Linked DNA regions of Cricetulus griseus. The protein of the gene in region 1 interacts with the protein of each later gene in a biochemical or structural test. Links are inferred from orthologs where the notes say so. Each region holds a gene or a part of one and is shown in the gene's direction. Other genes may lie near its edges.

Region 1 (4,314 bases):
TTGCTTCATTCTGGGCTCTCATCCTGGCTTCTCAAAGAAAGCTAAAAATAAGTAGAATCCCTGATAATCTTGGTCCGAGGTTTCTACCAGCTGGGCTTGTTAGGATCACTGTTTCAGTTAAACTGACAGGTCGGACCAGCTACTTAGTGAAGTTCGTGTAAATTCCATTTGTATGGCTTGTTTCGTAAATATCAGAAGTATCATTCTCTTAGGTGTACCTGTATCTAGAGGTCAGCAGATTTAACGGTAGTGAAAAGTAGAGGCCAAGGAACACTTGCTGCTGCTATGCATGGTGAGCCATAAAAGGCTGGCAGTGGGGTGTGTGAGTGTGCCAGCCTGCCGACTTCCAGGTGAGTATGTCCAAGGGAACAGCCTCCAGCCACACCCAGCATCACATGGAGATAGCCAGCATGTGATGGGAGGGGACAGGAGAGTCCTTTCCCATTTCTTCTTTAGAAATGAAAACATGTTTAGAGAGAGATTCGTAGTTGCAGAGACAGTCTGGCAAAATGTAAATGTCTCCTCACTTAGGTGTTATGAATAGATGTTATTTATATTGAAATGGTTTAATACAGGAAACCAAGAACTTTAACTTACACATGTACTTTGACACAGAAAATGTTACAAAACTGTTTCCCCTCAGGCCTGTTCTTTTACATACCTACATACATTAAATGCCAGTTATTGAATTAATTCTCTTGTAATGTCTGGATGTCTCATGTATCTCCTGCAAGATCCTTAGGGTAGTTCAGGATGTAAAATCTCCTATGCAGCTGTCTGGGGTTACCCGCAAATGTTCCTGACCACAGAAATATCTGCCATTATGTTGACATGCTCACTCAGCATAGTATGTTTGCATAAACACAGTAAAGCCACATATCTCTTTTAGTCTAAGCTCACAGTATTGTCCAGATACATAATTAACAATCAAATAATTGTATAATTTTTTTATTTTTTGTGGGATATTGTGTCCATGCCTTATGACAGTATTGCTGGGCTGTGGGGAGAGAATATATTAAATATCTTTTGTTCATTTTCAAGAACTAAGAAGACCTATGGGAAAGCATTTAATGACTTCTTTGGGTAGAGGTTTGTAGCCACGTTAACAAGTCAGACTCCGGTGGATTGAAACTGCTGTTGCATGAAATTGCTTTTATATTATTTATCATTGTGTTCTTTTCTTGAATTTTCTTCTTTCAGAGGAGAGTTCCAGTCACAAATGCACATGTGATGCATGGTAACATTTCCCGCTAAGGTGAAATGCAGAAATGAAAAGGACGCATCCATTTGAGTATTCTCACATACGATTACATGCATTATCGTGTTTTCCATGCTACTGACTTTTTTTTTAATGTTTAAAAATTGTTAAGCGTTAAACAGCTTAGGATTTGCAAACTCAGTGTTCCTGATTGAAGATCCCAAGTAGAGATTTTATTACAGCATAAATACCTCAGAGGAGCCCTCGACCTAGTTCCATACAGAGTTCTTTCATCAGCTGTGACCTGAAGTTTCAGCTCCTAGGATGGCAGACAAGCTTCCCACAGAGTTTGATGTAGTTATTATAGGGACAGGTTTGCCTGAGTCCATCCTGGCAGCTGCGTGTTCCAGAAGTGGACAGCGAGTTCTGCATGTTGACTCCAGAAGTTACTATGGAGGGAATTGGGCAAGTTTCAGCTTTACAGGCTTGCTGTCCTGGCTGAAGGACTATGAACAGAACCATGACAGCGAGGAAGACATGACTGCCTCGTGGCAAGACCTGATCCATGAAACGGAAGACGCCATCGCTCTTTGCAAGAAAGATGAGACTATTGAGAACACAGAAGTCTTCTGTTACGCCAGTCAAGATGATGGGGACAGCACTCAAGAGAACAATGCTCTGCAGAGAAGTCCTTCCCCAAAGGCATCTGCTACCCTGGCTGACTCTCTGGATTCTGCAGGTTTGCCCAAAGAAGGGTACACAGTATACTTTTCAAGCCACGAAGCACCTTCTAGACACACAGAGAGAAGTGATACGGAGCCGTCACCATCCTTAACTGATGCAGAGAACTCACTGGATCAAGAAAAGGATGGTGGCATCCAGACAGTTTCAGATGGAGATAAAGATGAAGACAAACCTGATATAGAAGACAACAGCAAACAACCAAAGAGAAACAGGATTACTTACCCTCAAATGATTAAGGAGAGCCGGAGATTTAATATTGACTTGGTATCGAAGCTGCTGTATTCTCAAGGATCATTGATTGATCTTCTCATCAAATCAAACGTTAGTCGTTACGCAGAATTTAAGAATGTCACTAGGATCCTTGCGTTTCGGGACGGGAAGGTAGAGCAGGTGCCTTGCTGCAGAGCAGATGTCTTTAGTAGTAAAGCGCTCACCGTGGTTGAGAAGAGAATGCTAATGAAATTCCTCACATTCTGTTTAGACTATGAACAGCATTCTGATGAATACCAAGACTTCAAACAATGCCCATTTTCTGAGTACCTAAAAACTAAAAAGTTAACGCCCAACCTCCAACATTTCATACTACACTCAATTGCAATGACATCAGAACCATCCTGCACTACGTTAGATGGTCTTAAAGCAACAAAAACCTTTCTTCAGTGTCTTGGACGGTTTGGCAACACTCCCTTTATATTTCCTTTATATGGCCAAGGAGAAATCCCCCAGTGTTTCTGCAGGATGTGTGCAGTGTTTGGTGGAATCTATTGTCTTCGCCATAAAGTCCAATGCCTTGTAGTTGATAAAGACTCTGGAAGATGTAAAGGGGTCATTGACCACTTTGGTCAGAGAATAAGTGCCAACTACTTTATTGTGGAGGACAGTTACCTTTCTAAGGAAACCTGTTCAAATGTGCAATATAAGCAGATCTCGAGGGCTGTGCTTATCACAGATCAGTCCATCCTAAAGACAGATTCAGACCATCAAATTTCCATTCTGGTAGTGCCTCCACTAGAGCCTGGAAGCAGCTCAATTCGGGTCATGGAGTTATGCTCATCAACCATGACGTGCATGAAGGACAGCTATCTGGTCCACCTGACCTGTGTTTCTTCAAAAACAGCCCGAGAAGACTTGGAACCAGTAGTTAAGCAGTTATTCATTCCTTTTGCAGAAGCAGAAACAGATGAGGAAGAACTCAGAAAACCAAGACTCTTGTGGGCCCTTTATTTTAATATGAGAGATTCCTCAGGAGTGAGCCGAAGCTCATACCATGGTTTACCTTCCAATGTGTACATCTGCTCTGGGCCTGACTGTGGACTGGGGAATGAGCATGCCGTTAAGCAAGCGGAAACACTGTTCCAGGAGATCTTTCCCAGTGAAGAGTTCTGCCCTCCTCCACCAAATCCAGAAGACATTATCTTTGAAGGTGAGGGTTAGCAAGCAGACATCCTGGAGTCAGTAACACACTTACCATCCAGCTAGACACCCCAAGGACACAGCAAGGACTTGTAAAGCACAGAACACCTTCGAAATTAAAACTGACTGGAAGTATTTTCATCCTGGTCTCACAATATTGTCACTGAAAGACAGCTGCCATTTGTGATAAGCGCTGTTCACATGTCTTCAACACCAAGACACTGGGTACCCTAATAGCTCTGCTAATCTGTCAGCATCTGGTTTGTGGTGACTCACCTTTTTCAGAATTGGCTACAGGAATCCAGAATCTCTGAATGTCATTAGCTTTATTTTACTTTTGGGTTTCACATTAGCGACATTGCTTAACTTAAGGTAGCATCGTCTTCTGTGTTCTGTGTTCAGGTTTTATCATTATCTACACAAAAATTAATATCCACAGAGTGCTACTACTGTTGCTACCACCTCGGGTGCACAGAGGAACACATAATCATAAACGGAGTGAGTTTTTTGTATATTATGTAAACACACAGGGCTGGTAGTAGGAGTAGCAGCTAATACAAGTATGGTAAAAAAGCAAGTGTTAGAAGCTTGGCCATGCATGAGCCTGTGGCTTGGGGCTGCTATTTACATGTGATTTCACCTGCTTTAACCTTTGTCACTGAGGAGGCAGTGAGACTACGCTAGCCTGCTACTTTACAAAAAAAAGTGCCCCTTAGTCGTTTGAAGAACCTCTTATTTACGAGATGTATTGCAATCTGGGTATGGTTGCTTATTCATGTAATGCTAACATTCAGGAGGTTGAGACAGGAGGATTGCTGTAAAATCCAGGCCAGTCTGGGCTACTGTGTCGAAACTCATTTCAAAACAAAACCAACCCCACTACCTACCAAAAAAAGAAGTATATTGTAAAGAAAATTAAAGGGACAAATTTATTCAGAAAATTTCTATAGAGCTGACTA
Region 2 (4,183 bases), on another chromosome or scaffold:
ATTTCAACTTGCTGGGCTTTGTTTGTTACTTCCAGGTGTTGTAAGTCTTTTCCTTTCACTTTTTATGTTTAGTGGTGATGGCCAGATCTTCATTAAAATTAGTTATTATACCATGGAGCAAGAGGGGCACATTGATAAGAGTCAGGTTGGAATCGTAGATCTTCATATTCATAGTCTTTTGAGTCTCAGTCTAGTTTTAGCCAGAAAGAAAGGAACAAAGCCAGCGTTGGTTCTGTCAATACCGTGCTCATTGAGGTGAAGTACTTTCACTTGGTGAAGTACACCTCCTTTTCCCACTAGGGCATGGCAGAACAACCTGATTTGGGATGAATGGCTGCAGCCAGGAAGGAGTACGCTGTGGACTCTGGATTCTTATTTTTGCCAACTGCCTAGCATAAAAGAATTTAGAATTTGGTGTCAGTACCACCAGCCAAATTGTAGGCAATGTCTTTGCTTCTGGATTTTAACATATTTGATACTTGCAGTGCAGTTTAATAATGTAAGCATTGAATTAGGATCTGTTGTGTCTGATCCTAATAATCTACAGTTTCCTCTTGTACTTCCCAAGTCTGTTGTAATGAAATTGTTTTGCCTTTCCTGATTCTTTTCTAATAGTGGGACACAGCAGGCCAGGAAAGATTTCGAACAATCACCTCCAGTTACTACAGAGGAGCCCATGGCATCATAGTTGTGTATGATGTGACAGATCAGGTGAGTTCCTAGAGACTATTGTATGTGTGTAGATTTTCGACACACTGTGTAGTTCTGATTGACCTGGAAATTATTATGTAGACAGAATGTCCTTGAATACTTTTGATCTGAAAGTTATTTTTACCATTTGAGAAATTAAAAAAAAAAATAAAAATTAGCACTCATTTTTCTTGTAGCAAATGTTAAATCAACTCTTTGTGACTTATGGGCAATTTGGAAATAACTGAAGACATTTAGGAGCAAAAGATGGGTGAATGTGGGCAGGAAAAGAAAATGCTACATTAACATGATGTCGTGTGCCTGGGTTCTTGCTACTTGGGAGGCTGAGATAGGCTCTCAGAAGACTGAGACCAGTCTAGGCAGCACAACACAGCAGATCACATCTCAAAAAGGCCAACACCCAGAGCAGACAGAACATGTTACTTTTTTAAAATTTTATTTTTATTTTATATACATTGGTGTTTTGCCATGGGTGTTGGGTCCCCTGGAACTGGAATTACAGACAGCTGTGAGCTGCCATGTGGGTGCTGGGAATTGAACCCCGGTCCTCTAGAAGAGCAGTCAGTGCTCTTAACCACTGAGCCATCTCTTCAGCCCAGAACATGTTACTTTTAAACGTCCAGTCTATCACCATTATTTTGTTGTGTTTTGAGACAGAGTTTCTCTGAGTAGTCCTGGCAGTCCTAGAACTCTGTAGAACTCAGAGATCTGCCTGCCTCTGCCCTCTAAGCACTGGGATCAAAAGCATGTGCAATCACTCCCAGTCTACCATAAAATATTTTTGAGAAAAGAAAAAGGAAAAGGTCTCACCAAAAGTTTTTTTTTTTTTTTTTTTTTTTTTTAAACTAGTTTTCTCCTCCCCATCCACTCACTATCTTGTAGTGGCATTTAAGCTCAGAGATTTCTGCATGCCAGGAAGTAGTCAGTCCCTGAACTGTACCCTCGGGCCAAACAGTTATCTTTTTGATAGTAGTAACACTGCTGTTATTCATGACCAGTTTTTGTTGTTAATTTTTGTTTGGTTTATTTTGAGACAGGATCTCCCTTAAGGTAGTCCTGGCTGACGTGCAACTAACTGATTTTGTAGAATGGGCAGGCCTAGAACTCAGAGATCCACCTGCCTCTGCCTCCCTAGTTCTGGGATAAAAGCTGTGTCACTACTCAGTTTAAAAACCAGAATTCTACTAAATTTCAGAAACTAGGTTTTGTTAATATCTAAATTTCAACTTAAAATTGGGTTTGCCTGGGGGCTGGAGAGATGGCTCAGCGGTTAAGAGCACTGACTGTTCTTCCAGAGGTCCTGAGTTCAATTCCCAGCAACCACATGGTGGCTCACAGCCACCTTGAATGAGATCTGCATGCAGGCAGAAGACTGTATACATAATAAATAAAATCTTTAAAGAAAAAATTGGTTTGCCTGTCATTAAATATTAAACTGTTTCCCTTCCCAAATAAGCTATTTTCACTTCAAGCCTGCCAGTCCTCCTTATCATTCATTAGATGAACATTGTCATTGTAATATATTAGTTCATTTCTTTTCTTGCATTATAGTTATAGCTAGAGTTGCCACAAAATGAGCTGTTATCAGTTGATCATTGGTTGCATCCAAAACTGTATCATCATTCTTGTCTTTAGGAGTCCTTCAATAATGTTAAACAGTGGCTGCAAGAGATAGATCGCTATGCCAGTGAAAATGTCAACAAGTTGTTGGTAGGGAACAAATGTGACCTGACCACAAAGAAAGTAGTAGATTACACAACAGCGAAGGTATGTATGAGGTCTGATTTTCTAATTACTTAATTAATTTTGGGACAGGGTTTCTCTGTATAACAGCCCTGGCTGTCCTGGAACTCACTCTGTAGACCAGGCTGTTTTCGAACTCACAGAGATCCTTCTGCCTCTGCCTCCCAAGTGCTGGGATTAAGGGCATGTGCCACCACCACCTGTCGAGGTTTGATTTTCAAGTTGAATTTTAATTATGGGGACGGGAGTCATACAGTGGCTAAACTTTTAAAAGCCAGTGAATTTAGTCCTTCATTCCCATTTCAGAAAGCATTAACAGCAAGTTAGAAAGGTTTTCCAGTGTTGATTGTTCCTTATTACTCTCTCAGGAATTTGCAGATTCCCTTGGAATTCCATTTTTGGAAACCAGTGCTAAGAATGCAACGAATGTAGAACAGTCTTTCATGACGATGGCAGCCGAGATTAAAAAGCGAATGGGCCCTGGAGCAACAGCTGGTGGTGCAGAGAAGTCCAATGTTAAAATCCAGAGCACTCCAGTCAAGCAGTCAGGTGGAGGTTGCTGCTAAAATTTGCCTCCGTCCTTTTCTCACAGCAATGAATTCGCAATCTGAACCCAAGTGAAAAAACAAAATTGCCTGAATTGTACTGTATGTAGCTGCACTACAACAGATTCTTACCGTTTCCACAAGGTCAGAGATTGTAAATGGTCAATACTGACTTTTTTTTTTATTCCCTTGACTCAAAGACAGCTAACTTCATTTTCAGAACTGTTTTAAACCTTTGTGTGCTGGTTTATAAAATAATGTGTGTAATCCTTGTTGCTTTCCTGATACCAGATTGTTTCCCGTGGTTGGTTAGAATATATTTTGTTTTGATGTTTATATTGGCATGTTTAGATGTTGGGTTTAGTCTTCTGAAGATGAAGTTCAGCCATTTTGTATCAAACAGCACAACCAGTGTCTGTCAATTTCCATGCATAAAGTTTAGTGAGACGTTATATGTAAGATCTGATTTGCTAGTTCTTCCTTGTAGAGTTATAAATGGAAAGATTACACTATCTGATTAATAGTTTCTTCATACTCTGCATATAATTTGTGGCTGCAGAATATTGTAATTTGTTGCACACTATGTAACAAAACTGAAGATATGTTTAATAAATATTGTACTTATTGGAAGTAATATCAAACTGTATGGTGATAAGTATTGTTTTAATTCTTATGGTTAAAGGGAAATAGGGATTTGCATTATACTCAACAGCCAATTTGTGTGTGCAACAAGGGCACTGTAGACCTATCTAATAATAGCACAGCATCCAGTATTTGCTTTCTAGTAATAGACCTGCTAAGTGACCTAGAGAAGCTTCTGTGCTGTGTAGACTGAACCAAATTCATTGGTTCAAGGAGCTCAGAGTGTATGGAAAACAAGTTTAGAATGTGTGCTTTCTAGTGCTTCATCTCCAGCTCTAAAACCGTTGTCTGAAGTGGCTTCACTCAAACTTTCTTCATGCATCTGTGGTAGAGATGGAGAGCAGCACATGCTTTACTCCCAGGCAGTGATCTAGTAACATGTGCTGGTGCTTCCTCCATGCTCTGGCAGATGCCACACACCCACCCCACCCCACCTCACCTACCCCAGTTTTTGGGATTTTTATTTTTTGCTTTTAGAGACAGGGTTTCTCTGTGTAGTTCTGGCTGTCCTGGAACTTGCTCCGTGGACCAGACTGGCCTCG

The links.
Region 2: the proteins of Chml (region 1) and Rab1a form a complex in vitro, tested with the Homo sapiens proteins (2 studies listed by BioGRID). The link is inferred for Cricetulus griseus from reciprocal best matches to the Homo sapiens genes CHML and RAB1A.

Annotation. Positions count from the first base shown.
Region 1 is NC_048598.1:18,011,755-18,016,068, forward strand, and holds the start of Chml (rab proteins geranylgeranyltransferase component A 2), read left to right. Parts: upstream 1-1,273; 5' UTR 1,274-1,522; coding exon 1,523-3,376; 3' UTR 3,377-4,314. UniProt on the Homo sapiens protein: Substrate-binding subunit (component A) of the Rab geranylgeranyltransferase (GGTase) complex. Binds unprenylated Rab proteins and presents the substrate peptide to the catalytic component B.
Region 2 is NW_023276807.1:86,262,598-86,266,780, reverse strand, and holds the end of Rab1a (ras-related protein Rab-1A), read left to right. Parts: intron 1-615; coding exon 616-711; intron 712-2,346; coding exon 2,347-2,478; intron 2,479-2,822; coding exon 2,823-3,020; 3' UTR 3,021-3,640; downstream 3,641-4,183. UniProt on the Homo sapiens protein: The small GTPases Rab are key regulators of intracellular membrane trafficking, from the formation of transport vesicles to their fusion with membranes.